Linked DNA regions of Drosophila melanogaster. The protein of the gene in region 1 interacts with the protein of each later gene in a pairwise test. Each region holds a gene or a part of one and is shown on either strand. Other genes may lie near its edges. The genes, in order: KP78b and CG9915.

What was found.
Region 2: the proteins of KP78b (region 1) and CG9915 interact in a two-hybrid assay, tested with the Drosophila melanogaster proteins (one large-scale study listed by BioGRID).

The regions. Positions count from the first base shown.
Region 1 is NT_033777.3:11,344,059-11,360,632, forward strand, and holds KP78b (KP78b), read right to left. Parts: upstream 9,074-16,574; 5' UTR 8,955-9,073; intron 7,105-8,954; 5' UTR 6,588-7,104; coding exon of another isoform or gene 4,470-6,587; 5' UTR 4,281-4,469; coding exon 2,466-4,280; 3' UTR 2,236-2,465; downstream 1-2,235. Other genes in the region: KP78a, read right to left, coding at 4,470-6,587.
Region 2 is NC_004354.4:16,305,477-16,319,971, forward strand, and holds CG9915 (uncharacterized protein), read right to left. Parts: upstream 7,663-14,495; 5' UTR 7,491-7,662; coding exon 7,472-7,490; intron 7,407-7,471; coding exon 6,012-7,406; intron 5,956-6,011; coding exon 5,802-5,955; intron 5,743-5,801; coding exon 5,379-5,742; intron 5,311-5,378; coding exon 4,903-5,310; intron 4,832-4,902; coding exon 4,709-4,831; 3' UTR 4,341-4,708; downstream 1-4,340. Other genes in the region: CG3679 (uncharacterized protein), read left to right, coding at 1-738; Had1 (beta hydroxy acid dehydrogenase 1), read right to left, coding at 1,541-2,071, 2,314-2,692, 2,762-2,799; SWIP (strumpellin and WASH-interacting protein), read left to right, coding at 8,406-8,921, 8,983-9,189, 9,246-10,346, 10,409-10,661, 10,716-10,870, 10,937-11,363, 11,428-11,633, 11,694-12,137; Cyp1 (cyclophilin 1), read right to left, coding at 12,706-13,131.

The DNA.
Region 1 (16,574 bases):
ACACAATCCATGGGAAAAAAGGACATAAAAATTGATTAACTACCGGGCGACCACAAAAAACAAGGACGAGCGCGCAAGCAAAGTTTCCAACCCGTTCCAATAAGAAAAAGTTTCGACTTGAGCAAGAAAAGTGCAAGCCAAAGAAGACACACCAATAAGGATCGGACCAGGGATACGAAACTATGGCACATAAAAACTGAAAACTATTAAGCGCTTAAGTCAGCCGGAAAATGAGACAAAATAGTTGGCCAACTAAGCTCCGGCTGAGCCACCAAGTTGAGAAATAAGCGAGACATTAATTAAGGGTTGCGGCATAAGAAAGGAAATCATTATGGAATGGGTCGAAACGAAAAGAACACTCGAAATCGCATAGGACTAATTGGCAAGCGCGAAAAGAACAATGGTAAAGAAAAAACCGAGCAAAAAGTGAAAGATGAAAAGCCTGGAAAATGTTTCTTAAGCGACCGCAAAAGGGCCGGTGAAAGGAAAAATGTGAAAAATCAAAGGAAGCGACGGCCCCACTTGACATTTCAGCAGGTTAAGCTCGGCTACAGTTTCTTGTGGCACTTCTTGGGCCGTAAAATATTTACCCAGGGTAAACAATACAAACCGCTCTGGGGGCGGATGGCTATGGAAATGGGCGAACCTTTTGTCACTACCAAATCTCGGCTGGCCGGGAAAACTTGGCTATTGACATAATTGTGGGTGGCAGTGGCCCAGGACCAAGAACTCAGTACTCCGTACCCAAGTCACACTCAAGGCGTTGCCGGCAGACACTTGAAGGCGGTGCTGCGCTTCCCCCCGAAGAAACGAAGACGAATCCACCCTCAATTAGACGTGAAGAGCCTTGGCTTACACTTGGCCAATTTGGCACCCAGTCCACTGGATAAATGGGTTTAACTTGCAGTTACAGTTAAACTTCCATTTACACGCTCGTTACGAGTTGTTGCCGCAAATTAGCCCAGGCTCTTTGTTCTGCGAGACGTTGCTGATTAGTCCTAGATGGCTTTCTTATTGGCATTTCCGGGCGAAACTTTTACTGCATACTTTGAGGGCATTCCAATTGGAGTTGCGGCGTAAGGATGAGGATGGAGTGCTTGCATAGTCTGTGGAGTGGCTATCTTATCGGATTCAGTCCTTGATAAACCTCAACTGTCGCCGTCTATATCTAATCAATGACGCGCGCTTTTAGTTAAATTATTGACTCGACCTGTTTGCATAGGCACTTTTATATGCTTCAAGTACTATTTCGATTTATCAGCACCATCTATATGCATATATCTCTATCCATATCTATAAATGCGAGTGCGGTTTACCCTTAAAGCAAACAATCGAAGCTCTGCTCCGTTCTAGTCCCATGCAAATAGACCGCGAGTAGTTTTGTTTGCATTTCGGTTTCGAGCCCAATCTTATCAGTCGGAAGGATGGCGATTGGGATTGGAAGGGGGCGGCTAATTGTGGGATTGGTTTTCCAGGAGTGGGCATGCACATTAATGCACTAGCTGGCTGTCTAATTTATGTGCGACCTGTTACTTGCTTACAGTCACCTTCTTCCGCCAGTTAACAAATTAAACGCTCTGCTTCCGCTCTCAATGGGTCCAATCAGTCCAAAACCACCCTTTTAGCCAGGTAACCCACTCCTACCGCCATCCCTTTTCCAACTCGGTTCCCACCAAAAAATACATACATAGTCGTCGGCCCTCCTGCGGAATTTCCCGTTTATTGGTTTCTTTCCGGATATTGTTATGTTCGGCTGTGAACGCCTTTTCCTTCCGCCGCTCGACGCCTTCAAATTACCACCCCCAAACCCCGTTGACTAACCTGTAGTAGCGGGTCCTACGTAGTTCCTGTTGTTGCCTCGAAAAGTGCAAAATGATTGCGGTTTCGTGTTGCTCAGGGGTGCCCCTCCACCCTCGGCTATTTCCACTTGCAACCCCCACCCTAAGCTCTCTCGCCGCTCCATTTAATGTCGAAGCAACACGCAAGCTGAAATTGTTGCTGCTGCTTTGTGTGTGACCCTTTTAATGTTCCACACAATTGGTTAATGTTTCTTTCTTTTAGTGATCATAATAGAACAATTAAAAATCATGAGTAAACCGTTTTTATTTTTACGCTGTTCTTATGTTAACTAGCTAATGAGAAACAGTACCAAACTTTATACATATAAACGAATTTAAAATTTATTTATTTTATACTTCTATCGTAAAATGTAAAAATTATGAAGATAAAGCAATTGTTAAAATATTATTTTATTTGTTTTGACAGTCAAGTTTCAAGATCAGTTCAGAACGATCACCTTACATATGCCATCAACATTTATTTGTTATACTAAATTTAAGTCGTTTTAATTAAAATACCATTTAGACATAAGGTGGATCGATCGTCCATTCGGGAGGGCTGCTATATCACTTTCGATTATCTGTGCAGGAAAGAATCCTTTTGGGATGCGCTAAACTAACACCTTGCTATTTGGTAAGATTCCTGCCCTGTTCGCTGATGTCCTTTTCGCCCTTGTGGAGTGATCTTCTAACAAAGCGTGCGGACAGCTTAGAGAAGAAGCCAACTCGCGTGGGACGATTTGTGTTTTCGGTGGATGGTGGAGTCTGGCTGTTGGATGCCACCAATTTAAGAACCTTTAGGGGAGTGCTGGTCGAGTCCAGCATTTCGAAATGAGTCGGTGGTGTTCTGGTGCATTCTGAAGCTTGACTTGGCGACTGAGTAATGGGACTCCGAATTTGGTGTGATGCGCTTGTCAGCTTTTGGTTTACAGCCAACTTTCGTTGGGCACTCAGTAGAGTTGTCTTCACATCCACTGGTGAACCGACTCCTTTCTTGGGCATCGCAGATTGTGGAATGCTGGACGGCTCGGAACGTCTGGGATTGGCGGCTTTGCTAGCAGAGCAGCAGATGTATTTTTTGGGCGGTGGTGTCAATGGTAGCGGAGTGAGGGCATTTGCCAAGCGCGGAGCCATGGGACGTATGGAAGTGGCGGCAGGCCTATTCGGTGTACTCTTGTCCAGTGCAAAGGTCACCTGGCTTATAGTAACATTGGGAGCAGCTATAGGGACAGGAATCCGACTGCTGCCTGGCATAGCCGTAGGAGTTTCCCTAAACGAAGATCCCGATTTCTCGCTGCAGGCTGTTGAGCGCGGTTTAGCAACGTCCAGGAGCATATAGGTGCAATAGATGTCGTCGAACTTCTGGTTCTTCAGCGACTGCTCTACATCACGAGGTTTGTGACCCATGTTCGACAGCAAACTCAATCGATTTACATCATGCAGATCCATAGGTTTCTCTTGAAACGGTCTCAAACCGTTACCTTGTTCGTAGCCCATGTTGATCCAGCGATCCGCCATGACAGCCGATAAACTAGTACGTTGCGTTGGATTCAGAACGAGGAACTTCCTAATAAGACTCTCGCATTCAATGGAGACGTAATACGGAACACGATACTTGCCACGTAGAACACGGTCGCGGAGCTCCTTCAGATTGGTTCCATCAAAGGGTAAGGAACCACTCACCAAGGTGTACAGCACCACACCCAGTGACCATGAGTCCACCTCCGGTCCAGAGTACTTCTTTCCTCTGAACAGTTCTGGGGCGGCATACGGTGGACTTCCGCAGAACGTCTCCAGTGGCGCTTTTGGTTCAAACGTGGTGCTGAAACCAAAATCAGCGATCTTCAATTTCATTTGCTGGTCCAACAACAAGTTCTCTGCCTTTAGATCCCGATGCACAATGGACTTGCTGTGACAGTATTCAATAGCAGACACCAACTGGCGGAAGAGCACCCTGGCATCTCGCTCCCGCATCCTTCCGTTTTTGACCAGATAATTGAAGAGTTCTCCCCCGCTGACATACTCCATTACCAAGTAGAGAGTCCTTTCCGACTCGATAACTTGCAAGAGGCGCACAATATTCGGGTGGTTGAGCTTTTTCATTATATTTACCTCTCGGTACAACTTCTGCCGGGCAATCGTATTTAGCGCAGTTTTATCGATCAGCTTAATGGCCACTTCCCGACCGGTGGGCAGATGAATCGCCAACTTGACTTTCGCAAAGTTGCCCTTCCCAAGGGTCTTGATGATCTTGTACACTCCGTAGCCGTTGCCATTTACATAGGACTGAAACTTAGGGCTCGATCTGCCTCCACTGCTCCCAAAACATCCCCCCACATTCTGGGCAGCTGCAGAAGGGGGCGTGGCGGTAGTGGATATCGATGTATTGGGACCGGGATCGTTCTCCTTGTCGGTCGTTTTGTTTGTGTTTGCTGCCGTCATTTCTGGTAGGATTAATTTATCTAAATCCCAGCAAAGCGTTCGCCGCACACTTGTAAGACAAACTGATTTGCTGAGTTTTGACTTAATTTCGTTAGAATGCTCGGTCAGGGCCGACTGTATCACTTTCTTTATCACTCTATCATTCTATCTCTATCACCTTGACATTGCCCCAAACAACCCGACTTCTGGCTATTTGGTGAGGTTCTTGCGCTGCTCGGTGACATCCTTTTCGTTCAAGTGGATTACCCTTCGACCGAAACGTGCGGTCAGCTTGGAGAAGAAACCTACCCGCGAGGCGGGCTTGGTGTCGTCCGCGGATAAGGGTGGCGTCTGATAGCTGTCCTCCTCTCCGCCTGCGCCATTTCCTGATCCACCGCCCCGTTTGCCACTGCGCGCTTGGCCGAAATGAAAAGTGGCCCGTGCCACATTTTGTCGGGTGAAGGGCTTGTCGGAGGTCTTTTCCACTGCTCCACCTCCGGGAATCCGTTCTAGCAGTCGAGCACCCATGGCCGGCGACTTGGGCACCAGAAGTGGAGTGACTGCAGGTTCCGCTTTCTCGTACAGGGTCGTGGGCCGCCTGGAGGATCCCTGAGCTTGATTCGGAGTTTGGGCAACGGGGTACTGGAAGCGCGGAGGAGTGTTGGCCAGCTTTTGGGTCTGGGCCAATTGTCGCTGGGCACTCAGCAGCGTGGGCTTCACATCCATGTTGGCACTGGCTCTCTTTGACTGCGGAGTGTGCGGAAGACTCGAAGGCTCCGGACGTCCTTGGCCGCTCGTATGGTTGGTGGCCTTCCGGGCTGGTGTCCTGGCTGGAGTGCGTCTTGTGGGCTTGGCAGGCGGTCCCGTTGGTGGCGTTGAAGTCGGTGTATTGGGTGCATTTGCCAAACGTGGCGCAATGGGTCTACCCGATGCTGAGGAGGAGTGGATGGGCGGATTCTTGTCCAGCGCAAGCGTGACATGAGCTATGGTAACAGTGGGTGTGGTGATATTAGGAAGCGGGCTACTGACAGCTGGAGTAGTTAAATCCACTGTTGGTATAGCCTCCGGTTTCGTACTGCGGTTCGAGGAGCGCGGCTTGGCCACGCCCAGGAGCATGTATGTGCAATAGATGTCGTCGAACAGTTGCCCCTTTACAGACTGCTCCACATCACGGCGCTTGTGGCCCATGCTCATCAGTAAATCGAACCGGGCTGCATCCTGCAGCTCCATGGGCTTCTCGCGAAACGGACGCAATCGGTCGGATTCATCGTGGCCCAGATTTATCCACTTATCCGACATCACAGCAGAAAGCGAAGTGCGCTTGGCGGGATTCAGGACCAGGAACTTTCTCATTAGGTTTTCGCAGTCCATTGAGATGTAGTAGGGCACACGGTACTTGCCCCGCAGGACTCTTTCCCGCAACTCCTTTAGGGTGCCTCCATCAAAGGGCAGCGAACCGCTGACGAGAGTGTACAGCACCACTCCCAGCGACCAGGCGTCCACCTCCGGGCCGGCGTACTTCCTGCCCATGAAAAGTTCAGGGGCAGCATATGGTGGACTCCCGCAGAACGTTTCAAGCTGGGCGTTGGGATCGAAGGTATTGCCGAAGCCAAAGTCCGCTATTTTAATGTTCATGTGCTGGTCCAGCAACAGGTTCTCCGCCTTCAGATCCCGATGAACCACAAACTTGCTGTGGCAGTACTGAATGGCGGACACCAACTGTCGGAAGATCACCCTGGCATCCCGCTCCCGCATCCTCCCGTTCTTCACCAGGTGGTCGAATAGCTCGCCACGACTCGCGTACTCCATCACCAGGTAGAGTGTCCTCTCAGACTCGATGACTTGGAAGAGGCGCACGATGTTCGGGTGGTTCAGCAGTTTCATGATCTTCACCTCGCGGTACAGCTTCTGACGTGCACTCGTATTGAGCTGCGTCTTATCGATCACCTTGATGGCCACTTCACGACCGGTGGGCACATGAATCGCCAACTTGACCTTGGCAAAGTTTCCCTTACCGAGTGTCTTGATGATCTTGTACACACCATTGCCATTGCCATTTACGTACGATTGAAACTTGGAATCCGTATTTTTACTACTACATGCACCGTCACCCAAATCCTGGCCAGCTGCCACAGTAGGCGTGGCTGGTAGGGCGGTGGCATTTGAGGTAGTGGGCGTGGCTGGCTGAGCAGTGGCGCCTGTTGTGACGATAGTACCCGTGAAATGGGAATCCGGATCGTTCTCCTTGTTTGCTGCTGTCATTGCTGTTTTCTCACTCTCCTTACCCGAAGATAAGTCTAGAATTCCCAAGCTGTTGTCCACGGACATTATAATACTGGGAATTTTGGAGCTCCTAGTCTGAGGTCGATTCTGATTGCCCAGGCGAACGTTGCTCCTATTCAGTGGATCTGCAAGTGTGCCGAGCACGCGTCGTTGGATGGTAACTATCGCCTCCCCTCAAGCTGTAATTGCTGGGTTTCGTCGGTCATCCGTCATCGGGGCCGTTGTTTGCACATCTGCTCTATTTCGTCACCCTCCCGACAGTCTGAGCTTTAAGATAAGAACGCGTGTTTGCAACCCTCAGCCACCCCGAATCCCGTGCATGGCTGATAAGCGGCTCGTCCTGCTCCTTGCGGCAGGATCACTTTGTCTCGACGCACGACCGCATGAGTCGTTAGTTCTTTCAGGAGGCGCTATCAACAACCCCCTGCTTCATGTGGCACGAGCCCTTTGTGATCCTCCGGTGCGATCGTGTGCCCCTGTTGTTCTTGTTTGCGACTGGCGAGGATATATCCCAGCTGGTGGTATTCGGTTTCCTTCGTCAGCGAGGAGTAACAGCTGCCTTCTGGTGAATGGAGAGAAGAATGATTCGATTAGATGTTGGAAGTAATCGGAATCGGGAATTCAATGGTTGCTCTTTATAGAAACTCGGTATTAGGGTAATTTCGTTTCAAATGAATAAAACTAATAGTTAAATGTACATTTACAACCGAATTAGCAACCTTTTTTTTTTCAGTGAAAATTTGTTTATTTGACTAGTCCCAAATTATAAATTGTAAGGGAATGCCAAAAAAAAAACTATCAAAAATATGACTTATTTATTATACATACGAATTTTTGTTTGCGAGAGTATATATTTTTATCCGTATTTTTCTAATCACTAAGAAAGTTCACAGAAACATTTGAATATTGCATTACAGTTCGTATTTGCTCTTATCGACAAATTTTAAAACTTGACTTGTATTCATAATATAGTGACGATCTATCAAATTATTTCTATAGACCTTGCACCACTGTGCACTAAGTGATTTGCTCTCTCCCCTAACAACAGAATTTCAATCGACCTGAAAAACTAATCTCTTCCCTTGTGACAAAGTATTTTCTTCGCCTCTCTGTTCTTTCAATTTTATTTTTTGCATGTCCTGCCGATCCCTAGCTACACTCACACACGCACACACACACATGCACGTCATTACCTATGATGAAACTACCCTAATGGGTTTTACCTACCTATGGATGTATTGTAAAAAATAAAGTACTACAAAGGAACGGGTCCTTAATCTGCCTTTTCTTTTGGCCTACTCGTTCGCTTGCATTTCTCTCTTTTGCTTTGCGTTTGTGTAACGATTTCAGGTTTTCTCTGCCTGCTCCTTTGTGTGCGTGTGTGTGTGTGTGTGTGTAAGGGCCTGCGTGTCCTTGATCCTGCTGACTTGTTTTGCTTGCAACCTTTTCTCGTCATCCCTGCTTTGCCTTTTGTCTGGTCTCCTTTTCCTCCGGCTCTTCGCTTCCTTTTTCAGCTCCTTTGCGTATCCCTCTCTCACTTACGGTATTTGCGTATGTGTGTGTTTTTGAGTTTTTGTGAAATGTTGAAATTTTGAAAATGCAGCTGCTACTTTTGGGTCTTTGTATTTATTATTTTTGCCTGCTCTTCTTGTTTTGCTTCCCCTATCATCTTCTTTTCTCTTTTTCGCAATAACAACATCGCAGATCTGTGGAAATTTGCAATAACAACAACAGTAACAACAAGTACTTGGCTTGGCTTGGTTTTAATTCTGGGAACTGTGATCTCTTGTTGGGCTAGTGATCGCTCCCCTTTTGCCGCCAAGTTCAATGCACCCCACCTAGAGTTACCCCCACTTTTCCCACCCCACACCAGACCCCCCTCTCTCTCTCACACATTCTCTCGATTTTCCCAAGATACCAACACATGTCAACATGAACATGTGCGGGTCTCGGTCTCCCATCTCGTTTCCCCCTTTTTCGCCTTTGTTTTTCTGCCTGTCCATGGGATCTTTGGCTTGTTTTTTCCGAATGCGCCTCTCCTCTCCTTCCTTCTGGCTTCTTCTATTTTGATTCTGGTTCTCTGGCCGTTCTTCTTTGTTTTTTCCTTAACCACTGAGTCATCGGCGACTTTGGGGATCTTCAGGCGCCTCATTCTGTCTGGCACTCATTCGTTAACACACTTACTTCGCACAAAGCGATACAGATACATACAGTTGATCCATTAGCTGACCTTAATAAAACGCCTCTTGTATTGAGATCCAAAGAACGCCCCCCTTAAAGACACGCACAACGGACGCAAGATAAGGCATTCTGGTACCCAAGGGATACGATCGGACTTATCTGACAATGGATGCGAAACTCTGGAACTCACAGTGACCACCGCGTGCTTGCTTAATTACGCTCTTTACTTACGCATCGGTCCATTGGCGATCCCCCCTGGCGGCAATCAAAAACGAATTAGCGTTAATCCACTCCACAAGTGTACCATATCGTTTCGTATCCGTATCGTTGAGCGAGACCGAACTTTCAGATACAAGGCGCGCCGTAGTACTGAAACGCATTGAGCGGAATATCTGAAGACAGGTCTTGAACTGGAACTGAAACGTCTGAGACGGGCTGAGCAAAGAGAGAGCGAAGAGCGTCTTTGTGCTCTTCTTACGCTCAAAAAAATGGCCAACTGATTGCGATCGTGTGCTCGTGCAGCGGATTTGAAAAGAAACGCATTATTAAGATTTACGCCTGCTTCAACTTTTCTCTTTCGTCGTCTTTAAACATAAAATTTAAAAAGAGAAAATTAAAATTTTAAGCAGTTTGATTTTCTCTCTTTCTTTTCACTCAATTTTTGAATTATGTTGCTCTTCCTTCTCTCAATATCGTTTCCTTGAGCGTTTCTTGAGGTGTGACGTCACGGATGCGAAGGGGAGGCACTTCGGGTGTTTCGTGCTTCGTCTTTGTTCGTCTTTGCGGCGAATTTGGCCTTTGTCGTGGTCTTCGTCTTCGTTTGAGTTTCTTCATTGGTATGGGTTATCTTGCGGTGGTGGTGCTGGCGACTGCGATGGTGTATGTGTGCCATCAAGACTTCCCCATTCGTCGTCAACAGCTGTGTCGTCATCGTGTCATCGGTGTGGGAGTAGCCGATGGCCATATCTGTCTGAGCTGTCCGAGTGGTATTGGTGCACCAATAAGAATCGGCCAGTGGTTCCAGTGCTTCTTGAATAACAGCCCCATCCCCCGCGACCATCTCAACGCAATCCGTTGGAGCGCTCTGTTTTGGTAGGGAATGATTAAAAAGTCACCACAACAAATAACAATAATAATAATAAAATGCATTTCTTTTGGCCCGCAAAAATTTCTTTCATTTGGGCATCGCTTTGGCCGGCTGAAAGGAAAAATTATAATGACAAAGTAGGCGACAAGAAGGATTGGATGGGTGGGTGTTGGTTGGTCCGATTGTAGACGTAGACGATGATTATAATAACAGTTTTCTGTGATTTCTCCTCGATTCCCGATTCGTAGTCCCCTCCTTGAAGGCAGGGCTTAATTAAAAAGCTTTTGGCCATTCACTTGGAACAAAAATTAACCCTAACTTCAAGAACATTTCCATTCAAAGTGCATATCGTTTGAAGGCAAGAAAATGAGAACTTTTAATTCATCGCCATATTCAAGCACTTTCATTTCAAGAATTAAAAGTCAACTTAAAAAAGTGAACTTATTTGAAAGAAATTTTTGCTTGCCAGTTGGAAACTAACAATATTCTCTTGGCTTTGAGATTCGAAATTGAAGGTGTTTTGGGAATTTTGGTGGGGGAGAATTTGCATTTAGATGAACCGAAGAAGCCAAGACAAGTAGGCCACAGTGAAATGCTAATGAGAAAGCGGGTAATTCAGCATGCAGTCGATAAGGCGGCTGCCTTTGGCAAAAGTATCCGCCAGATACACGTGGCACGCACACCAGCTGACGCCCCAAAAAATAGGTGAACATAATGCGATCCGACCGACGAAATCACAGTTGGCCACCAGAGGACACGCGCCACCTGATCAGGATGCGATATCTTTCTTCGGCAATATTTGATCGTGCTGAATGCGGAAAAAGCAGATTGCAACTGCAGCTGACTTCGAATGTGGACAAAGGGATCTTCGGCAAACAAAGCAGCCACAGGATATGCGATACAGCCACTTTTGCACATTGCCCCGATGAGTTATGGACTCCAGATTGCGGACCCGAAAAGGGCAGCTTCTTGACAGACAAATGCGGGTGCATATCGATTTCGACTTCGGATCGGCCGGAACGATGACTCCTTGGGCCGTGATCTGCATTTTTGCGTCCTTCTTGCCGCATCGCGAAAGGTGCAAAACGAAGGACGAACGTGCCGCAAAATCTGTGCGGCGACTTAGGTATTTAATTGGGTTTTGCGTTTCACTGTCGATATTCAATAACAGCTGGCTCTCGGCTAAATACACAAATTAACCCATTCAAACAATGCCTTCTTGGAAAGTGTCAAATTCAACCTCCGATCAAGGACCAAACAATGGCCAACCAAATGAGGGAAACCAAAATGCATAGTATATACATTTATGCATCCCAGACAATAAACGAAGAATCACAATTTTCAGCTGTCAAAGGAGGGGGTAAAATCTCCCGATATTCATCAAGAAAACGTCTGATTTTCTCACCGTTTTCCCGGGGCATTTTCGTCAATCATTTGTCGACCACTTCAGCCCTTTGGTCGTGGCAAATCCTTTGCACTTACTTTGCATCGCAGTACTCTGTTCAGTTAGATCGTTCATTCATCCATTCATTCACCAATCCATCCATTCCCTCTACCTGCCATTGTCAAAGAGTTTTCCTTTCGATTTGGTCGCAGTTCCACTGCTTTCTAGCTTTTTGTTATATTTTTGCATAGTTTTGTCGGCTTTGTTCCTTACCGGGAACGGGGCGAAGACTGCTTAGGGATAAACAATATTAGCTGACTGAAGGATTTGCATTCGGCATCCCATTGTCCTGACGGCGACCCGAAGAATTGTCAATAATATTTTGCCCATGCGACAGTTTGCCCCCATCTCCGCCAAATGCAACACTTCTGCTTCTGCCCACATTCGGAATAGATAATGATGGAACTAATCCTTTGCCTCTCACCAGAATCGCGATGGCTTCGCTTGCCTTGGATTGGCCTAATTGAAAAGCGGCGGCAATAACAGGGACAGGCTCAGAATAAGAGGCAGGCACATAATGCATTTCGGCACAGCAATTCGGAAAACTGAAATCTGAAATCTGCATAATGCAAGTGCATCATCTCATCTGTAGCATGTGTGAGTGCACAGAGAGAAACCTTTTGAAATTCAGTAATTATCACAAGCAGAGCGAGAAAGTAAAGGCAGACTTATGTTGTTAAATTGACTTTTTATTTAGGATTTTTAGGATTGGTTATGCTTATTACAAATAATATGTAACTAATTAGAAAATATAAGATATATACTACTCAAGCCATTTTTTCCTTAACAGTTTCTAAGTTTTCTAAGTGTAGTTGTGGCCCATGTAGGAGGCGCCTGGGGACCAGCTTATTAGCGAAGATTGTCAGTCAGCCGCCGAACAACAACGGCAGCAACAACAGAAATTGATTACCAAATGTGCACGGCTTTCGAGTGGTTTTAGCCTGAAATGGGAGGCGGTTGGGTGAGAGGCGGTGAAGGGCGGATAGGCTGGCTAATAAGCACAAAAATCCACATAGAGCAGCAATTCCTTTTAATTGAAAATCTCTCTCTCGCGAGCTTCCCATTTTCCCAATTTACCACATTTTGTTGTTTTCATTTTCGCAATTTCTTTGCGGCTGCAGTGCGTTTAGTTGATAGGAGGGCGGGCAGAAGGGGCGTGGCTGCAGCTCCAAATGCATTCGATATTGCATTTTTTTCTCCGCCAACATGCAAGGATAATAAGGACTTTAGCCAGCTTGGGACTTTTTTGTTTTCGAGCTGTTTCACTTTTCTCTTTTTTTTTTTTGTTTTTTGACTGATTGACTTGCGAAGCGGACGCTTAACCATCGCCTACTGCTTCATTTCTCACACCATTCGGCGTTATCCTGGCGAAGTTGATTGCAGCAAGGACTTGCGTCTACATTGCGGCCCGAAAAATTGCATTGGATGCATTTGCTGGGCAAACAAACTGCCGAAACAAGAGTCATGAAAAAAGTTTAAGGGCCCCAAACTCGTGGTACTCCCGCTCCGCGTAAGACTCGCTGCATGTGCAATGCATATTAGCCGAGTTGTGTCCTGAGTCCTGCGACCTGCGTCCTGAATCCGGTGCCATCCTCGGCCTGTGCATTGTCCTTTTGGTCGAGCGCCTTTCCCGCCTCCCGCCTCCCTCCTCCCACGGTGTTGGGTTTTTTCTGCGGCTGCCTTTTGTTTGATTTGCGAAATTGCAATATGCTGGCTGTCTGGCTGAACTCGTCTCGTCCTGGTCCTTCGGAGACCCCACCCCACTCTGACCCCCTCTGCATACGCAGGATAACTGCAGTTAGACTGCAGTGGCAGTGCAACCGGCTTTTACCAGGACATTCCTATTTCGGGGTTAAAATCTATAAGCTTTGCTCACTCCCCTCTTTGTGCTTATTAATTAATTGCAATTGTATACACAATTTTTGTAAATTGTTTATAAATGCTTTTTAATCTGTACATTTATTTTTAAATGGTTGTCAGTTCAGTTCACTTGATTCTTATATCGGCCTTGTTGTTATTTTTTTATATACTAATTGTACAACTAACTAGACTTTTTAAACGCTTGACCTATTTTAAGGTTGATTCTTACGATATCAGACATCACGTTTGAAGCAATTGATTCCTTTAGCTATAATATATTTACCCCTTTCGTCAACTTTGCTGCTCACTAGCTTGTCGAAAATTCACTTGTTCAAATGACAGATTATCCCCATAAATATTTTAATTTGATTCATTTGCAACCACTCGTAGTTCAACCCCCCAAAGCGCTGCAGCTCCTTCCCCGATCAGGTTGATGTCCGGTCCCCGTTTCCAGCAAAATCTTTTAATTCGAGTGCGTTTTTCATCATCCAAGAGCGGTGGCCCCGCCACTCCGCTCCGCTCCATTCCTCAGTTCCCTGTCCCTTGGCCAGATTTCCGTTTAGGTTGTGGCGCACTGAAAGTCTTGAGGCTACGCCGGAGACCCTTCAACCGACTGCGCCAAAATGCACTGGACGTTGGTCACGACGCGGAGCAGAAATCAAACAATCAAACAAAATGAAATCGCCGGTCCGCCCCTTTTCGCTCCTCGTCTCTTGTATTTTTCTCCCCACTGCTGTAATATTTTTTTGGTTTTTTTTTTTTTTTTATTTTTCTGCTGCTCGCGAGTTTTTGTTGGCTTTGTTCTGCTGCTGCTTTTGTGCACACGCCCCCTCAAAGTCCAGTTTTGCAGTCATCAAGTTTTGCCAGCCCCCTTCTCCTCCTCGGTGGGGGTGGCAGCATATAATACCCCTCTGCCGGCGGGCTTCCGGCTGCCCATGCTTCTTTGGCATGTCTTCGCTTCCGTTGCATCCGTCCATCTTGCCCGTCGCCGCAGTGCTCCACTCCACTCCGCTGCAGTGGCTGCCAGACGAAGGAGCCACCCTTCGAGGACTTTTCCAACCCCCCAGAAGCAGCAGAAGCAGCGGCAGCAGCACCGAAAACTCCAACTCGCCCTCTATATATTTTATTTTTAATTAATTAATGCGAATGCAAAGTACAATTTCTACAAGGAAAACTTGTTTTGCAACTCGCTGACAAACCCTTTTGGGCTCAGGATCCACCCATCCGCCCTTAGCCACCCATAGACACCCAAGCCGCCCTTTACCACCCTACACCGCCACTCAGACCACCTGGCTGTGGCGCCTCCAAATATGCGGCGCAACAGCCGTGTGGCAGGCTGTGAAGAAATGCAGTTAATTTACTCAGAAGTAGCAGGGAATTGCAGTGGGAAAAGCGGCTCAAGTGGGCGGTGGGCTGAAGAAAATTGCTGCTGCAGAAAGTTGCTGCTGCAGTTTCTTTTGTTTTTGTGTGCACGCCGTAATGTATGCAACATAATTTTTGCGCTCTTAGCTGCCGCTGGATGAATTTTTGTTAGTACCCAGGTGGGGAAGGGGGAAAGAGGGGGAATCCATCCTGGGAAATGGAAGGAAAAGCGAGGAGTTGCCTGGCTGGATATGCAGTCACCTCCTTTCAGGCATAACGCGACGTGTGTGTGTGTGTGTGTGTGTTCGTGTGCGTGTGTATCTGTATGTGCGATTTTCTGAGGTAGTTGCAGCAGTTGAAAAACTTTGCTCCGCAAGGTGAGTGGGGTTCGAAAAAACCCTTACAGCACTCGTTCTGTAGGCCTCCTCAGTTTTTCCAGGTTTTTATACATACATTTTTTTCATATTTTTATTTCGGGGGCGCTGGAAAATGTTGCAAAAGTTATTTCTTCACGGGTTTGCCATGGCTCTTAATGAAATATCTGCATGGATGCGAGTGGGTGCAGTTGGCAGCAAAGTGGTCTCCACGGGTTACTTAATAGGCAACAGCCAGCTCACATGGCCGGGCAATAGACTTCATTCGTAGCTGCACAGACAAAAATATTTTACACATTTATCTTACCAAATATTTGTGACCTATTTCAGAAGGACGCGAATTCTTTAGCAAAGCAAAACAACGCAGAATGCAGAGTTCATCTTAGACAATTAAATGCCAATTGAATTCTCATTGATAGTATCAGAGTCAATCATACTTCTTTTCATTTTTTTGCGGTGTGGGCTTTAAGGCCGAATCAACTGTGGGGAATCGGGCTGAAAGAATCCTCCAGTTTGGGCGACAGTTCACCGACACGCTCAAAAGCCTCAAAAGGAGTGCGGGCACGTCTTTCAATCTGTGACTTTTGCGCCAGCACCAGCGCCACCCTATGCAAATAGACAGCCCTCCACCTTGAGCAAAGTAGGATAAAAAGAAAATGCAGCAAAAACGCAGCTGCAGGGCCGAAAGGGGGTGAATGGAGGGAGGGGGGGGGGGGGGGGGGGGGTTGGTCCGTTGCCGCTGCAGACACATTTTAATGATGCATGCAACAGTAAACTGCAATCAGATATGCGCACATCGTTAGTCTTCAGCATCAGCCGCCGTTTGTTGATTATCTTAGAATGGAGAGCACGGCAAGAAAGATAACTCATACGCCCCGTTGGCCGCACAACCTGTGCACTTTCCGCATTGCATGGAAATTTATTTGCCGAGCAAATAAACTGCAGTCTCCCGTTTGCAAGAAGTCGGTACCCGGATTCTTGGCCCCCACTTCCTTTTTATCCCGCTGGAAAGGATGGGAGGGAGCTGCAGAGGAAACCCCTAACGGAGGCACTTTTTTATGCAACTTCTTCAGCACGAGTGGTTTCCCAAGTTGACGTTTCAAATGTCAATTGTGTGCTTAACTGCATTCTTTTGACGACTCCGTCGTCGTCGTCGTCGTTGGCTTTCCTTATTTGCCCCGCGTGTGTGTGTGTGTGTGTGCTCGTAGTAGGGCAACCCGTCTCGGATCCAGATTCCTTCCCATTTCCATTCCCAGGCCCCTGTCCTTGTCTAATTTTGGTTTTTTTTGTTGCAAATTGCGGCCTAAGCGGCATTGGTTGGTAGAGATGGGGTAAGAAGCGGAAAGGTGAGCGAAGGTGGGCAGAGGTCCTCCTCCTGGATATCGCTTTCGCTGCTAGTTGGCAGCTGGCAGGCACTTGCAGGGAGCACAGGACTATCACAATTGATCGACTATATTATACTGTATCTTCATGTTCTCTTATAAGCAACTAATACGGGAATAATCCGAAAACAAAAGAAACTTCAAAACCAATCTATTTGCTAAGCTTATAGTTATTTTAATTAATTTACCTCTCTTTTAAGCATACTCTACTTTTGTGGTTTTTAGTTTAACCAACTAGTTGTAAACTAGGTAAATTCCCAAGATGCATTGGGTCTTATATACCCCACTTGATGCATCTGTGAATGGGCACGCGTAATTTCTTTTCTTTGGCTTTCACTTTGT
Region 2 (14,495 bases), on another chromosome or scaffold:
AGTGATCATGAACAACAGCAGGGACTTGATCCCAGGACAGTCATACTGTTGGTGAACCCCAGCAACTACAGCAGCACTCAGGTAGCATACACAACGAGCAACGTGGCCAAGACTAAGCCAATGCCTCTACGTGAGACCAATGCGGCGGGCTCAATGCGCCGTCGATCGTCGTCGCTTTCCATTCAGGACAAGTCTAAGCTGCCCCGGGAAGTCCTGAAGTCCGATCGCCAGGTGGAGAATCTTCCGCCGCCCAAGGAGACCAAGAACACAGCCACTGTTGGGCCGATGGGTGCAGCAGCTGCCTTTCGCCAGAGGAGCAACTCCTTCTCCACGCCAAGTAATCCGTCCACAAAGGCCTACGAGAACAGGCGTACTCTAATGAGCAGCCGCTTGAGGAATCCAGCCATAAACGAATCGGTGTCCAAACCCAGTGGAAGTGTTAAGGCGACGAAGCCCATCAAGCCGGTGGTTCCCATTATGAAAGTGACCGCAAGCAACGATTCCACCTACCTGAATCCGTTCCATCCGCGTGTACCCGAAACGCCCATCTCATCGAGGACCAAACCCGCCCAAAACATATCCTGCACGAGCACACCACTGCCACAAATGCGCACCCAGCAGCGCAGATCCCTGAAGCCAATGGCCATGACCGCAGGATCGGGATCCCTGTCAAATACCTCCTATTCGACGCCCAGCATTAGGGGGCCGAGCTTCTGCAAGAAGAGCGGTTCCGGCTAGAGGATAGAGAGCGTGCATTGCGTAGGAATGGGGAATGGGGGAGCACTTCCTTGGCCCGTGGGCGGTGGCGCAATGTCGCCTGAAAGTGAATTCGAATGTGATGTCTGAGGTCAAGTTTTTAACCTTGCAGATAAACCGACAATGTGAAAACGGCTTGGCTATCTCCCCCATATATTTTTGTTTGTTCCATTTGTTTTTCCTTTTTTTTTTTTTTGGCCGACGTCACAAGATAAAGCGAACTGATATGCAGTCTGCACTCCATACTAAACGTTAGCAAATTAGTTTTCGTTTCGAAACGGATTAGCAGTGGAGCCAGTACTTTATATTTAATTTCCACTCGAACTGAACGAACTAATTAGTTAATTTATCTTTGTTAACTACTCACTAACCCACTAAGTTACCTTGCGAACTCATAGTGCTTGAAATCCCTTTCTCATTTCCCTATGTTTTTGAAATTCCACTGAAGTGGAGTTGATTAAAGAAGAGATTTAATAGTAAGCCAAGCATATCAGAAGAGAATAAAAATAGCATTTAAGAGGCAGGTGAAGCCGTTTGACCACAAGTATCCTACGTTTTAAGGATTTGTCCATTGATGTAATACCTAGAACTAGTAGCTTGCAAAGCACACTCCCTATTAATTTCGCTTTTCGCAGCTGTCTTGAAAGACCAGCGAGGAATAATTCAATAAAAAGAGATTATCAGTTAAGCAATTTCCGTATATTTAACGTATGTGGCGCTAGCATATCACAACAATGAAGAAAAAACAAAAAAAAAAAAACGCAGCAGCAAGATAATAATGAGTTTACTGGTTGAGCTTGTTCTTGAGAATGCTCAACTGGGTGAGGCAGTTGTCGCGGTAGTTGCGGCGTTGGGCCAACTGATCCAGCGGCACCATCTCGCCCAGCTGCTTGGCCACCTCGACGGCGACGGGGCCCTCCATTTTCGGTGTCGGTCCCATTGTCTCGCTAACCGCATAGATGGTGTTCGAGTAGCGTTCGAAATAGTTGGCCATGCCCTCGGCATTCAGATGGGCCGTCTCCAGGGGACCCAGGAAGGCGTAGCGCGGTCCCAGTCCATTGCTCATCACGCTATCGATGTCCTTGACATTCAGGATGCCGGCCTCGACCAAACGCCATGTCTCGTTCAGGATGGCATACTGGATGCGGTTGAGGGCGAAGCCCTCGATCTCCCGCGACAGCGTAACTGGTTTCTGGCCAATCTCCTCCATCAGGGCACGGGTCTTCTTCACCCATTCCGGTTTCGTCCACGGCGCAGGCACGATCTCGACCAGAGGCACGTAGTACGGTGGGTTGACGGGATGCGAGACCAAAACCTGTTCACGAAATCAAGCGTAATTGGGCTTAGTCATTGCGGCGATCACATCGAAATCCAAATAAATGCGAATCAAATTGGGCACAAGGACGGCGCAGCTTTAAATTAAAGCAATTGCAGCTAAGAATGTTTCTTAAAACAATAAGCTGTTTGTATGTATTACGATTAACTATTCTTTTTACCAAGTAATCAGCTCAAGGTGGAGATATACTATGGCTCACTAATCTCAAGAATTCAACTCACATTGGCCTTGTTTTTCAGATCCGCGCTGAAGAGGGAGGGCAGAAAAGTGCTGGTGGAGCTGGAGAGGATGGTGTTGGGTCCGACGACGGCGTCCAACTGCTTGTAGAGCGCCTTTTTCAGATCGAGACGCTCGGGGATGCACTCCTGGACGAAGATGGCGCCCTTGACCAGCTCCTTGAGGTCGTTGGTGCCGGAGATGCAGGCGAATTGCTGGGCGGCGGTCAGTTTGCCGCGTAGCAGGCCCTTGGCCTCCAGATCCTGCAGCTCCTTCTGCGTGGCAGTCAGAGCGGTGGACACCTGCTCGGGCAGGATGTCGTACAGCACCACCTGGTAGCCCACCGAGGCGAACAGCATGGACCAGGAGCGACCAATTAGACCGCTGGAATGGTAACACCGCCAGTCAGCACCTGGATATCCTAGCGAATAACAGCTTCCTGCTCCAACTCACCTGCCCACAATGCCAACTTTCTCGTTCTTTGCCGACATCTTTGTTTATTTACTTTTGCCGATTTACTTCGGTGGAGTTGGATTTAAGAAGGAGCTATGGAGGAGCTATTGCTGTCGACCGCCACTTGGCACAGCGTACATGCGTTTGAGCAATTAGACGGCAGCGCAACCGGTTTAATATTCGGCGATAACCACGCCAGAGGTGAACCCAAAAACGAGAACGAGACCCGAGCCCAAGTGTTTGTGGGGTGTTTGCGGACGCGCTTGATGGGTGTCGCTGGAGATTTCGGAGGAGATAGTGGGCCGTGCGATAACAATGCCGCCCCGTTGGGCAATTGGACGATGCTGCCACGCCCACAGCGCTGTATACACATCATTGAGCTGCCGCGTACCTTGCATTTAGTGCATTTAGGCTTTGAATGCAGGCCCTAAAGTTGTTGAAATTATGTATTTTTTGTTAAATACTATATGCTAGCTAGCAAGCCAAGGAAAATGTAAATGATTGTCCAGAAATTGATTTATAATCATAATTAATTAAAAGAAACCCTGCAAGCAACTCAGTTAATTAAACTTATAAAAGCCAGCATTGGTACACTTCATTTTGATAGCTTTTACCTTGGCTAGGTACGCAGGACGGGTACCTGTACCTTTTCCAACCGGTATTTTCCACTCGCGTGGGTGGAAGGGGGGCTGGTTGTGTGTGTGAGATAGTCCATCAAAAGTTCTCAAGGAGCTACCAATTTCCTAGCGGGTGTCACACGACAAAACTGTGCCAAGATGCCCTTAATTTGACTTTTATTAATAATGCCATTTTATAATGTTAGTTTAGCTACTACGGCGGGTATCTTTGTGATTGTCCGTGCATTTATGTATGTATGTACATATGTATTTGCTACCGGCACAAAAATAACCCCGCGAATTGTTTACTAAGCTTTTTAAGCTTTCGCTGTCTTAAATATAAGGCAATAAAATATTGTAAATATGTATGTTTGTAGAGCAAATGGCAATAACTACGTCAAGTATTATCAATCTGATTCGAGCGTTTCGTTGTAAAACTATTCTAAATATACGTTTTTTCAATGCTCTGCCTGTTCAAAATTGCAACCATAGTCTATAGAATATTCTTAAAAAATGTTTGTGAGTTGTAAATGCAAAGATCTATTTGGTTTGTTTAGTTTAGTTTGTTTAATCTCTACTGACATATTTATCACTTCATTTCTTGTGCGAGATATACCTGGAATGGTACAAATTTAACTTTTAGTTTCTCCAATCTTTGGTTTTTTCCACATAATAAATTAAACGCGACGTCTTAAGATTAGAATGGAAAACATGATCTTGCTTTTCTCATTTGCAATGAATATACAAATCATAAGGTTTCTTCGTGTTTTTAACTTAATATGAAAGCAACCAGACTAAAAATATAATAACCTTTGAAAGAGTATACAAAAGTAATCCTCTTGAAGGATTAACGTTTCCATCTTTAATTAATGGTTTAATTGCTCGTTTTTTGTTTAAGCCAGTATGGAAAGACGAAGAGAATCTGATTAGTGTGTTAAAAGTGAAATTTGTATTGCTATTTTGTTGCTTAACTATTTTATTTGTTTAATGTAATAATGCAAAGTGCAGCTAATAATTAAATTAAGTCTACTTTGCAGCCCAACTGAAAGCTGTAATATCTAATCGGTGAATTCGTATTAATTCAATTACACATGTGCATATTTACAACTAATTTAGTAGCTAATTTAGCTTCCTGATAAGATGGCGGCCTGCATGGATCTCCCATCTCTTTCCTTTTGACTTTGGATTCTAGCTTATCGTTTTCAATGCCTCAAATGGACCCGAAAAATTCAAAAGGCCAGCGTTTCTCGCGTTTAGTTATATTCAAAAATATACATTTTTTTTTTTAATTTCGTTCTATTATTTAATTTAAAGTTAGCTAGAATGCTGCTTATAGTGCCATCTTTCGACCCTCTATCGATATCTCAACGGCCCTGCGGCTCTCCTTCAGTCGCTTTGAGTCCAGGAAACGTTTCATGTGCTTCTCGTAGCGGTTTGGCTTGCGTTTTGTCGACTGAAATGAGATTCAATGGAATCAATGAATAAGTGGAGGCGAAAGCCAGGGCTTTATGCTGGACTACTTACCGCGGAGACTTCACCCTCGACGGTTGACTTTGGGCGGATGACGTAGTCCTTGTTGGAGGGCATGGGAACACGAGCGCGAGCCACCCAACCGGGATCTCCGGGACGCAGCATCTTGTCCTCGTTGGAGAGGGTCTGATTTAAGGTAGGTGCTTTGCTGCTGGAGGAAGGCTCTGTATCCGGACTCTTATGCCGATGACGTGACATCTGCGCCAAATCGCGCTCCTGACGCTCCTCCTTGCTCATCGCTGAGAAGTTGCAGCTAACGTTGAATATCGGCCGAGCCCATTCGGAAATCAGGCGACCAGCGCGATCGCGATTCGACTTGGTCTCCTGGGGGTGTTTGTACAAGTACATCACAGCCTTGCCAATGCCCGACTGTTTCAAAAGTCCCTTTTCAATGGTAGGAAACTAAAGATGGAGAATCCACACATTAGAAGCCATAATATAATATATAATAATCTAAGCATGCCACTTACATCTGATAACAGTTTAAGAATACTCTCGCGTATCTGAAGACATGGCAGACTTTTGTTTGGCAGGGGCGCTAGCCAATCTGTAAGTACATTGAGTATATTGTGCTCCAAGAAGGCCAGCTGCAAGTGCTTCTTGATCAGCTGTGACATCACTTGCTTCAGCATGGAAATCTTCTTTGTGGCCGGCTGACCTATCATGTTCAGCTGACGGTCGTCGTCCGAAGCGTTCTTCATACTGACTATAAGCTGATCGATCAGATCATCGTTGTCGTTGATCAGATCAATATCGCGCTTGCGCCGACGCACTCGCTTCTCTTCCTTCTTTCTCATGAGCATAGCATCAAAGTCGGAAATAAAGTTACTGTTCCTGCAATGGCAGTAAATGTGGGGTTAAAATCTATTCGCCTGAAGGAAACGAAGTCTTACTCTGGTTCATTTGAAATTGGTGTGTTCTCATCGTCAGAGCTCTCTGTGATTTTGTCTTGTGATTTCTCTTTGCCTATGCCCTTGTCCTGCTCATCCTCTTCATTGTCTGTGTCCGTGATTTTTACACGCTTCTTTGTCACCTTCGGTCCGTCGTCTACATTGAAATAATACATAAATTAAGGTGCTTTTAAAGTTGTAGCCAATATTTACCATCAGATTCGCTGATGGCCCGTCTTTTTCGCCTGGAAGCTGTCTGGGATGCGGCACTACCGGAACGAGACCGGGAACCCTTTCGCGAACCACCGCTAATGGAGCGGCTGCGGGAGCGGGATCCGCTTCTAGAACGCCTCGATCCGCTCCTGGAGCGCCTAGATCCGCTCCTGGAGCGCCTGGATCCACTCCTGGAGCGCCTGGATCCACTTCTAGAGCGCTTGGAACCGCTCCTAGAGCGCCTGGATCCGCTTCTAGAACGTCTAGAACCACTTCTAGAGCGCCTGGATCCACTTCTCGAGCGACTAGATCCACTTCTCGAGCGACTGGATCCGCTGCGGGATCGTCTTGATCCACTCCTCGATCGCCTGGAGCCCGAACCACTGCGCGAACGACTCGATCCGCTCCTAGAACGTCTGGAGCCACTGCGTGAGCGTCTAGAACCACTGCGGGAACGGCGAGATCCGCTGCGAGAGCGCGCCGATCCACTACGAGAGCGCCTGGATCCGCTCCGGGAGCAAATGGAGCCACTTCGGGAGCGTTTAGATCCACTGCGCGATCGCCTAGAGCCACTTCGAGAACGCCTTGATCCAGATCCACTGCGAGATCGTCTAGATACAGAGCCGCTTCGCGAACGTCGAGAACCGCTCCGCGATGCATTTGAGCGTCTAGAACCGGACCTACTGCGAGATCGCTTAGATCCACTGCGAGAGCGACGTGATCCACTGCGCGATTGCTTAGACCCACTGCGGGAGCGGCGCGATCCACCACGGGATTGCTTAGACCCACTGCGGGATCGCCTAGAGCCACTGCGGGAGCGACGTGATCCACTGCGGGATCGCTTAGACCCACTGCGTGAGCGGTGCGATTGCTTAGATCCACTGCGGGAACGCCTAGAGCCGCTGCGGGATTGTCTAGAACCGCTGCGGGATCGTCTAGAGCCGCTGCGCGAACGTCTGGATCCAGCAGGCGATCCCGGTGCTGCGCCAGAATGACGGGAGCCACTGCGGGACGGAGCGGAGCCGCTCCGCGACCGCCGGGAACCGTTTAGCGACTGCTTGGAGCCACTGCGCGAACGCCGGCCACTGGCTGCCGAGTGCACCGATCCGCTGCGGGACTTATGGGATCCGCTTCTGGAGCGGGATGCGCTCTTCCTGGTAGCACTGCGACTGCGACTACGCGAGCGATCGGCGATGGCCTCGGCATTATCATCACCATTCTTGGGTGCCGGCGAAGGAGACTTGCTCTTGCTCTTCTCTGGCAATACTGGCTCGAAATTGGTTGCGTCGGGATTGGTATCTTGAATTTCCTTTAGCTCCGCTTTTGCGGCCGTGTCTGTTGTGGTCTTCTCGAGTGGCTCGGATAAGGTCTCGGCTTCGTCGCCGCCGGCCTTTTCTGAAAATTAAGTGTATAAAATGGTTAAACAAGAATTTCCATTAAGAATCAATTTGGTAATCAACCTATTTCAGACGTTTCCATGCCGTACTAATTATTCCTATAAATTTTTAGTAGTACACAACCAAATTTGCCTAGTCAGTTGGTCAAACTGCTTTCAGGCTCAAATTAAATAATTCCTGCAATGACTTATAAAATACGACGCGATTTTATTGCTCGGCATTTGTAAGGCCAGTGGAACGAATGGAAACGGAACATCAACGCTTGTGTGTACACATACACTAATGCATACACGCTGTTTAGGGCCCTTATACACGACAAGCCTTTTGTTATCGATAACAAAACTTCTATGATAAGACATCCGAAATAACTTATTCTACAAAACATTTAAGTCCAAAACTTAAATATCAAAATTAAATTTGTTTATGGACAAAAGTCTTGTTTTAAAAATAGACTGCGACGTACAGGTATTCGTGTCAAGGAGTACGATTTTAATCCTTGGAAATCGATAACCAAACTTATAGAAATTGATTTAATTTGTTAAGTCAGAATGAAAACTAGGTATTGCATATATTCATAGTCATTACGATTATGTATTTTTACCGCTGTTTCTTGAATCAAAAATTTATATTGCTTCTTATATAAATAAAATGAATTTATTATCTGAGGATTATTTTTGCTTATAAATTGTATAAATAAATCATTTATCGGAATAGACATGCTACCAACTTTTCCATTCAATTAATCGCGATTTTCGATTTTACACAGTTTTTGGGTTTTAACTACGCTTGTTTAAACAAAAGATATCGAGAATTTAGCGTTATCGAATCGGAATCCACCCACTTGAAATGCCCCATCCCTAAATTTGCCATGAGAAAACCAAAACAATAATATTTTTAAAATTGGTAGACATGAAGGAAGAGCAAAGCTCTATGTGTATGAAAACGCCGATATCAGCTATGGAATACTATTCTTATCTATATATTTTCTATTTCAGCTATGTTTGCCGAGGATATCCTACGGGATTACGGCTCCTTCATATCGGAGCACGATGGGAAATTGAAATTATTGCGAGATAAAGTGCCTAATCGGGATGTTTCCGAGTCTGCACAGTGTGTATATATGTCGCCCGTGGTCGAGGTAAACTTTATGGGCAACGATTCCATGGCTCCGGACAGAAGCTTTGAGGAATCGGAGCTGGTGGCCAATAAACCGCTGACAACTCTGGCGAATCTGTGCAATCAGTGCAGAAATCTGTCCAGGAAGGCAAAACGGTTCCAGCTGGCATTCCTTTTCAGCGACTTTCGATTAGATGATACGCTCCCGCCACATACCCACACATCCGAGGGTTCCGCCGGCTTGGAGGGATCCTTGGTCCGCATGAGCAGCTCCATGGACTTCTTCTGCCAGGTTTACTTCTTGCTCAATCGCATGATTGTGATACTCCAAAACCTTTGGAGACAAATAGCCGCATCTGTTAGCGTCCCAATGGACATCAATGAAGTCCACATATTCGTAAGTCAACGATCGAACTCACATCTCAAGTGTAGTAACCAATTGAAGTCGAAACTTGCAGGCTGTCTTTGATGCAATGAGTGAGTTACTGGAACACATAGTGGTATTCAATGAACTGGCGAACCAATCGAAGATATCCACCATGTGGGCGCTGTACAAGAAGTGGCTGATGAACCTATCCAATAGCCAATCAGCGAACTTGGAGCTCAATGGCCTTAGTACATCGCTAATGGATATAGAGAATCTGATCACCAAGGATTTCTTTCGGGTAAGTCAAAGAAAAACGTGAATGGTAACCGCCCTTTCATGGATATTTCCAAACAGATTCTACTGGACAATTTGATGGAATTGAAGAAGCAATTTGGCCTGAATAGTGTTAGCCCCATCACCCAGCATTCCAATGCCTATATTCGTAGGCAGCTTCTCGACGTCGACGCGAATCCGAGTAACGAACTTAAAAACTATGAGGATCCCAAGCACATTATTCGACTTACCACCTTCGTGGTCGTCGTCCATGAGCTAGGCATCCAGATGGAGGGAAAACTGGTCAAGAATGTGATCGATTTGGTGGCCAGGCATAAGCAGGTGCCTCTCAACCGAAGCGTTTTCTGGTCGCCTTCCGGATTCCTCTCTCTACATGCCAAAACCCTGATGAAGTCTTCAGCCCGATCGCAAGATGGACAAGGCCCAAAAGTTCATAGCACAGTATTGGAGAAGTTTAGGCTTAGCGATCAGAGGACCTGTCGCCAATTGGGCGTCCAACTATCGCTGTGGTCCATCCAAATGCAAAGGGTATTCGATGTGGGAGTCTTTGGACACCTCAAGACTTTTCTGCAGTTGATTCTCAATGGACACTCCTATGCCGATCAAGTTAACCTGCTGGCAGTCGCGCTGATCAATCGGCACGTGGCTCTGATGACGCCCATGACCAGAAACGATTGGATCGTCGTCTCTCGGTTGCTGCAGTACCTGAAGGTCATTCAGAAGACCTTTGAGTCAAACCAAATCAATTTCGTGCGCTTTATCAGCTCACTGATACAATGGCAGAAGCAAAAGGTCATACACCTGCTGCACACAACGAAAAAGAAGATAGTTGTCCTCAAGTTGCTGCAGCGCAAGATCAACTTTTTGGCCACAATAAAGCTGGCCGAGAAGTCCATTATGGGATTTCCGAGCAAGCAACGTTTGACTTTCGTAAATCTAGCCCTCGGGGAGTTTCTAGATAATCGCCTCCTGCCCGCCGACAATCAAAAGTTGATCAAATCGATCCTACATCGTGTTAATAGTATCAGCGACATTATGCGGAATATTGGTGGACAACTTAACACGTCGGAGTCCTCGAGTCTGGTATATAATCACTGGTTTCTGGACACTTCGGTGCTTAAGGAGTACACCGAACTCCAACGCAATCCCTACTCCTTGCAGGTTGGTTTCTTACTCAGTTTCTGGCAAAGCAACTTCATGTTTATGCCATTTATCATCGGCAGAACCTCGTGTCGGTGAGCCATCATCTGGACAAGATCATGGCCATGTTCAGGGGTTCAAGGTGTCCCAAGCAATCAGCGAATGACTTGATCATTGAGTTTTTGAGCAACCACCTGGAGTTCTTTCTGCGCGTGGAGGCCCTTTCGCATCTCTTCCAGAGCCAGGATCAACCATTCCAGCAAAGTGCCTTAGACTATCGTCTCTGCATCAATGCAGTTGCAGTTGAAAACGATGGTGATTACAATATTATAAAAGGTAAGATATCGGTTACAAAACTGAGAGATCATGCCATTCATTAACATATTTTAGATCATCTTGAGAACTATTTCACTGCCACGTTCTACAACTTAACGACAATCGCTCCGCACGACTGGAAATCGTATGAAAAGATGCGTCATTTGGCCAACAAGGTGCTGCAGCTGCAACCCATCGATGACCACCTGCCCAATCAGATAATTGACCAGGTAACCAATTGAATCATCAATAAGCAATCTCTTCTATTAACCAAACAATTCTTTCCCACTTTCAAGGGCATAGACGTGCTGCAGATCATGCGGAATATACACACTTTCGCCTCCTCGTATGCCTACAACATGAACCTGCAGGTGTTCGTGGAGACGAACAGCAGGAGCAAGCACCTCGACATCATTGGCACCCGGCACGTGGCCAACTCGGTGCAGACGCACGGCACCGGTATCATCAACACCACCGTCAACTTTATATACCAGTTTTTGCGCCAAAAGTTTTACACCTTCTCCACCTTCCTCCACGACGAGCAGATCAAGTCGCGGCTGCTCAAGGAGCTGCGTTTTCACACGGAGCACAAGCACAGCAAGTCCTATCAGTCGTATCCCTATGAGCGCGCCGATAGTTTTCTTAAGAAGATCAGAAGGCTAGGCTGCTCCAGCAATGGCGAGACGTATATGGATCTTTTCAGGAAGGTTATCACACAAGTCGGTAGGTGGTTAAAGACCATAATTCAAGAAAATGCTTAAAATATAAACGTAAATATTGCTTTTAGGCAACGCTGTTGGCTATGTGCGCCTCCTGCAGGCTGGAAGCAAGAATGCCAACTTCCGGAATCGCTCGTATAAAACCAGATTCGACAGCAACTTCAGTTGCGGGGGCTCCAAAGTGCACGAGGCTACGGAGGGTTCCATCAGGGAGTACGAGAAGAGCCTGGGTCACATGAAGGAGTGCTATTCCGATAGCACAAATTACTTCAAGGTGCAGTCTACGATCTTAACAAGTTAGGTAACCAGCTTAACCCATGGATTTATATTGCAGCTTCTTCTGCAAGGCTTTCAGCCCTTTTTGTGCAATCCACATAACCACCACCTGCGAACCTTCTACCTCATCACACCGGCGCTCATCATGAACTACATTGACTACCGGGTCAAGCAGAAGCTAAAGATCTACAAAAAGGACCAGACCAAGATCTCGCTGTTCGAGGATGGCTTCGCCATCGGCCTGGTCTACATCCTCAACATGCTGAACCAGCAGACGGAGTTCCATGAGCTGGGCTGGAGCCAGACGATCACGCAGCACCTGAACGCGGAGCGCTCCAAGGTGCGCGACATTTTGGCGGGCCAGCAGCGGACGGCGCCGGAGCAGCTGGACGAGAAGCTTCACCAGACAGTGGCGATAACCGAACGACATGTGAACGCCTACGAGCATGAATACAATCTATTGTACGCCACCTTGAGTAGCTCCGAAATATTCTTCCAATAAAATATGTCCATTTACCAAAACCAAAGATCCCAGCAGTGACAACAAACAATTGAGTAGTTGGTTGCCGTTTATTCAGATTTATTAAGACGAAAATACAATTCCGATTCCGGTACATAGCGTAGAACGTTGGTATATATATATATATATGCAATTAGATAATCAGCATTACTAATACTATTATTAGTAGTAAGTAAGCCAACATCAAAAGATCAAACATTTTTCTAAGCCCCTCTCGACTCTTGTCGTCTCATTGTTTTTCTTCTTTGTTTTTTTTTTTGTGAATGGAAATGTTAAAGTTACAGATTTAATGCATATTATATAGCCAATTGAACGCTTTCTGACATTGGTGGGCACTAATTCTATTCACTTTTGGCCCCCACATACAATTGATTGGCCAAAGGAAACCCAACATGTCTATTGAAAATATGTTGGTTTGTTATGTATTTTTCTCGTAATATTACAGTACAGTAATTGGTAAAAAAAAATGTTTTGGAGAAAATGCAAATGGTTTTCGTCTTAACAGATTTTTCTTCTTGCAATGTTGCTGTTGCTTTTGCATCGCACCTTCTTAAAGAGAACCAGAGTTAGCCACAATGATCTTCTTGGAGGTCTTGCCAGACTGCGATCCATAAGATTCGATCTTCTTGACCACATCCAGTCCCTCGACGACCTCGCCGAAGACGACGTGCTTGTTGTCCAACCAGGCGGTCTTCACAGTGCAAATAAAGAACTGGGAGCCGTTCGTGTTGGCGCCAGCGTTGGCCATCGACAGGATGCCGGAGCCGGTGTGCTTCAGCTCGAAGTTCTCATCGGGGAACTTGTTGCCGTAGATGGACTTGCCGCCAGTGCCGTTGTGGTTGGTGAAGTCGCCGCCCTGGCACATGAAGTTGGGGATGACGCGGTGGAAAATGGAGCCCTTGTACCCGAATCCCTTCTCGCCGGTGCACAAGGCGCGGAAGTTCTCGGCGGTCTTGGGCACGACATCGGAGCGCAGCTGCAAAATACAAACAAAAGGGTAGAAATTTCGTTAGTAAACAAGAAATTAATGCTAACAAAGTATGACTCTTTTTCAGTTCTTCAAGGTTTGTTTATCCGAACTCGGATGACCTTGCCACTACTTTTTGCTTATTTATTTCTTTTTTTTTTTGAGGACTGGACAATTTTCTGTATAATTCATGTTGAGCGGCAGTAAACATGATCAGCTGTTTTTTGACGCCGCTTTTTTTTCATCGCCATTTTTAGCCCTTTGATAATATACATATGCATGTTCATATGTATGTGCATATCTATACCAAGGGAAAAAATACATATAATGCACAGAACTTTGCAAATGCACTAGAATTTGAGCAATTTTCCAATTCACCCAGTAATCGAGACAATTGTATAAATTAGTCAAGTAAATGCTTTTCCTAATGCCGCTTCTCTATAAATCTTCAATTGTTTAGTGTAGTAATTCGGCGTGAAGTGCAGAATTTTTCGCGCACTGCATGTATGTTCAAGTGTGCGTATGTACATATGTATGTCCTATTGGAAGGAAAATCCTAGACATGTGGCTTGGTTTACTTGGCGGGCAATGACTTTATTCCCAGGCCACTAAAAATATACATCAAGCATTCGCGTTTCCTATTCTTTTTCTCTATTCAAAAATTAGGTGTACATTACATCATCGGCGGAATTAATAGTGAGTTCATGTTTGCAAACGGGTTTACAGAACTCGCGCATTCACACCCGAATATCTCTGTGTGTACACTGTACATCTGCGCGTACATTACCCGCATGCACACATGTACATATGCAAGCACGACAAGAACATACAGACATACGCGAGTGACCGCTTAGAGGTTATGTTCGTGTATTGATCTGCATGTGTGTATGGGTATGAGCCACACATACGCAGACCACGCCGGAATGTACATATATAGCACACATGCACAGATGCATATAAAATACCGGTAAAAATTGCACACCATTTCGGCCAAAGTTTGCCGACACGTCAATTAAAATAAGGAAAATTCCATTCTATAAAGATAATACCACCAAATGGCCGATTTGCGGGGGTTGGTGCTCCTGCTTGCCTGTTTGCTCAAAATTCAGCGATGTAGAGATAATTATAGAGATTTTCCGATTAAACGCGCCTGTCCAATTGGGTTGGAAAATTGAAAATTTACCCATAGCGCATTGTCATGCAATTAGTCATGGAAAGTAATTGCACTTGTCGCTTATAAATTAGAGGGCGAGTTTGCGCTGTGTGTATATTTGGTACAAGTTTTAAATCCGTAAAAATAAAAAGAAAAAAACGGTATGTACTTATCACCTGAGGCAAATAATGTAAAACACAGTCTTAGCTTTAGGCGTAAG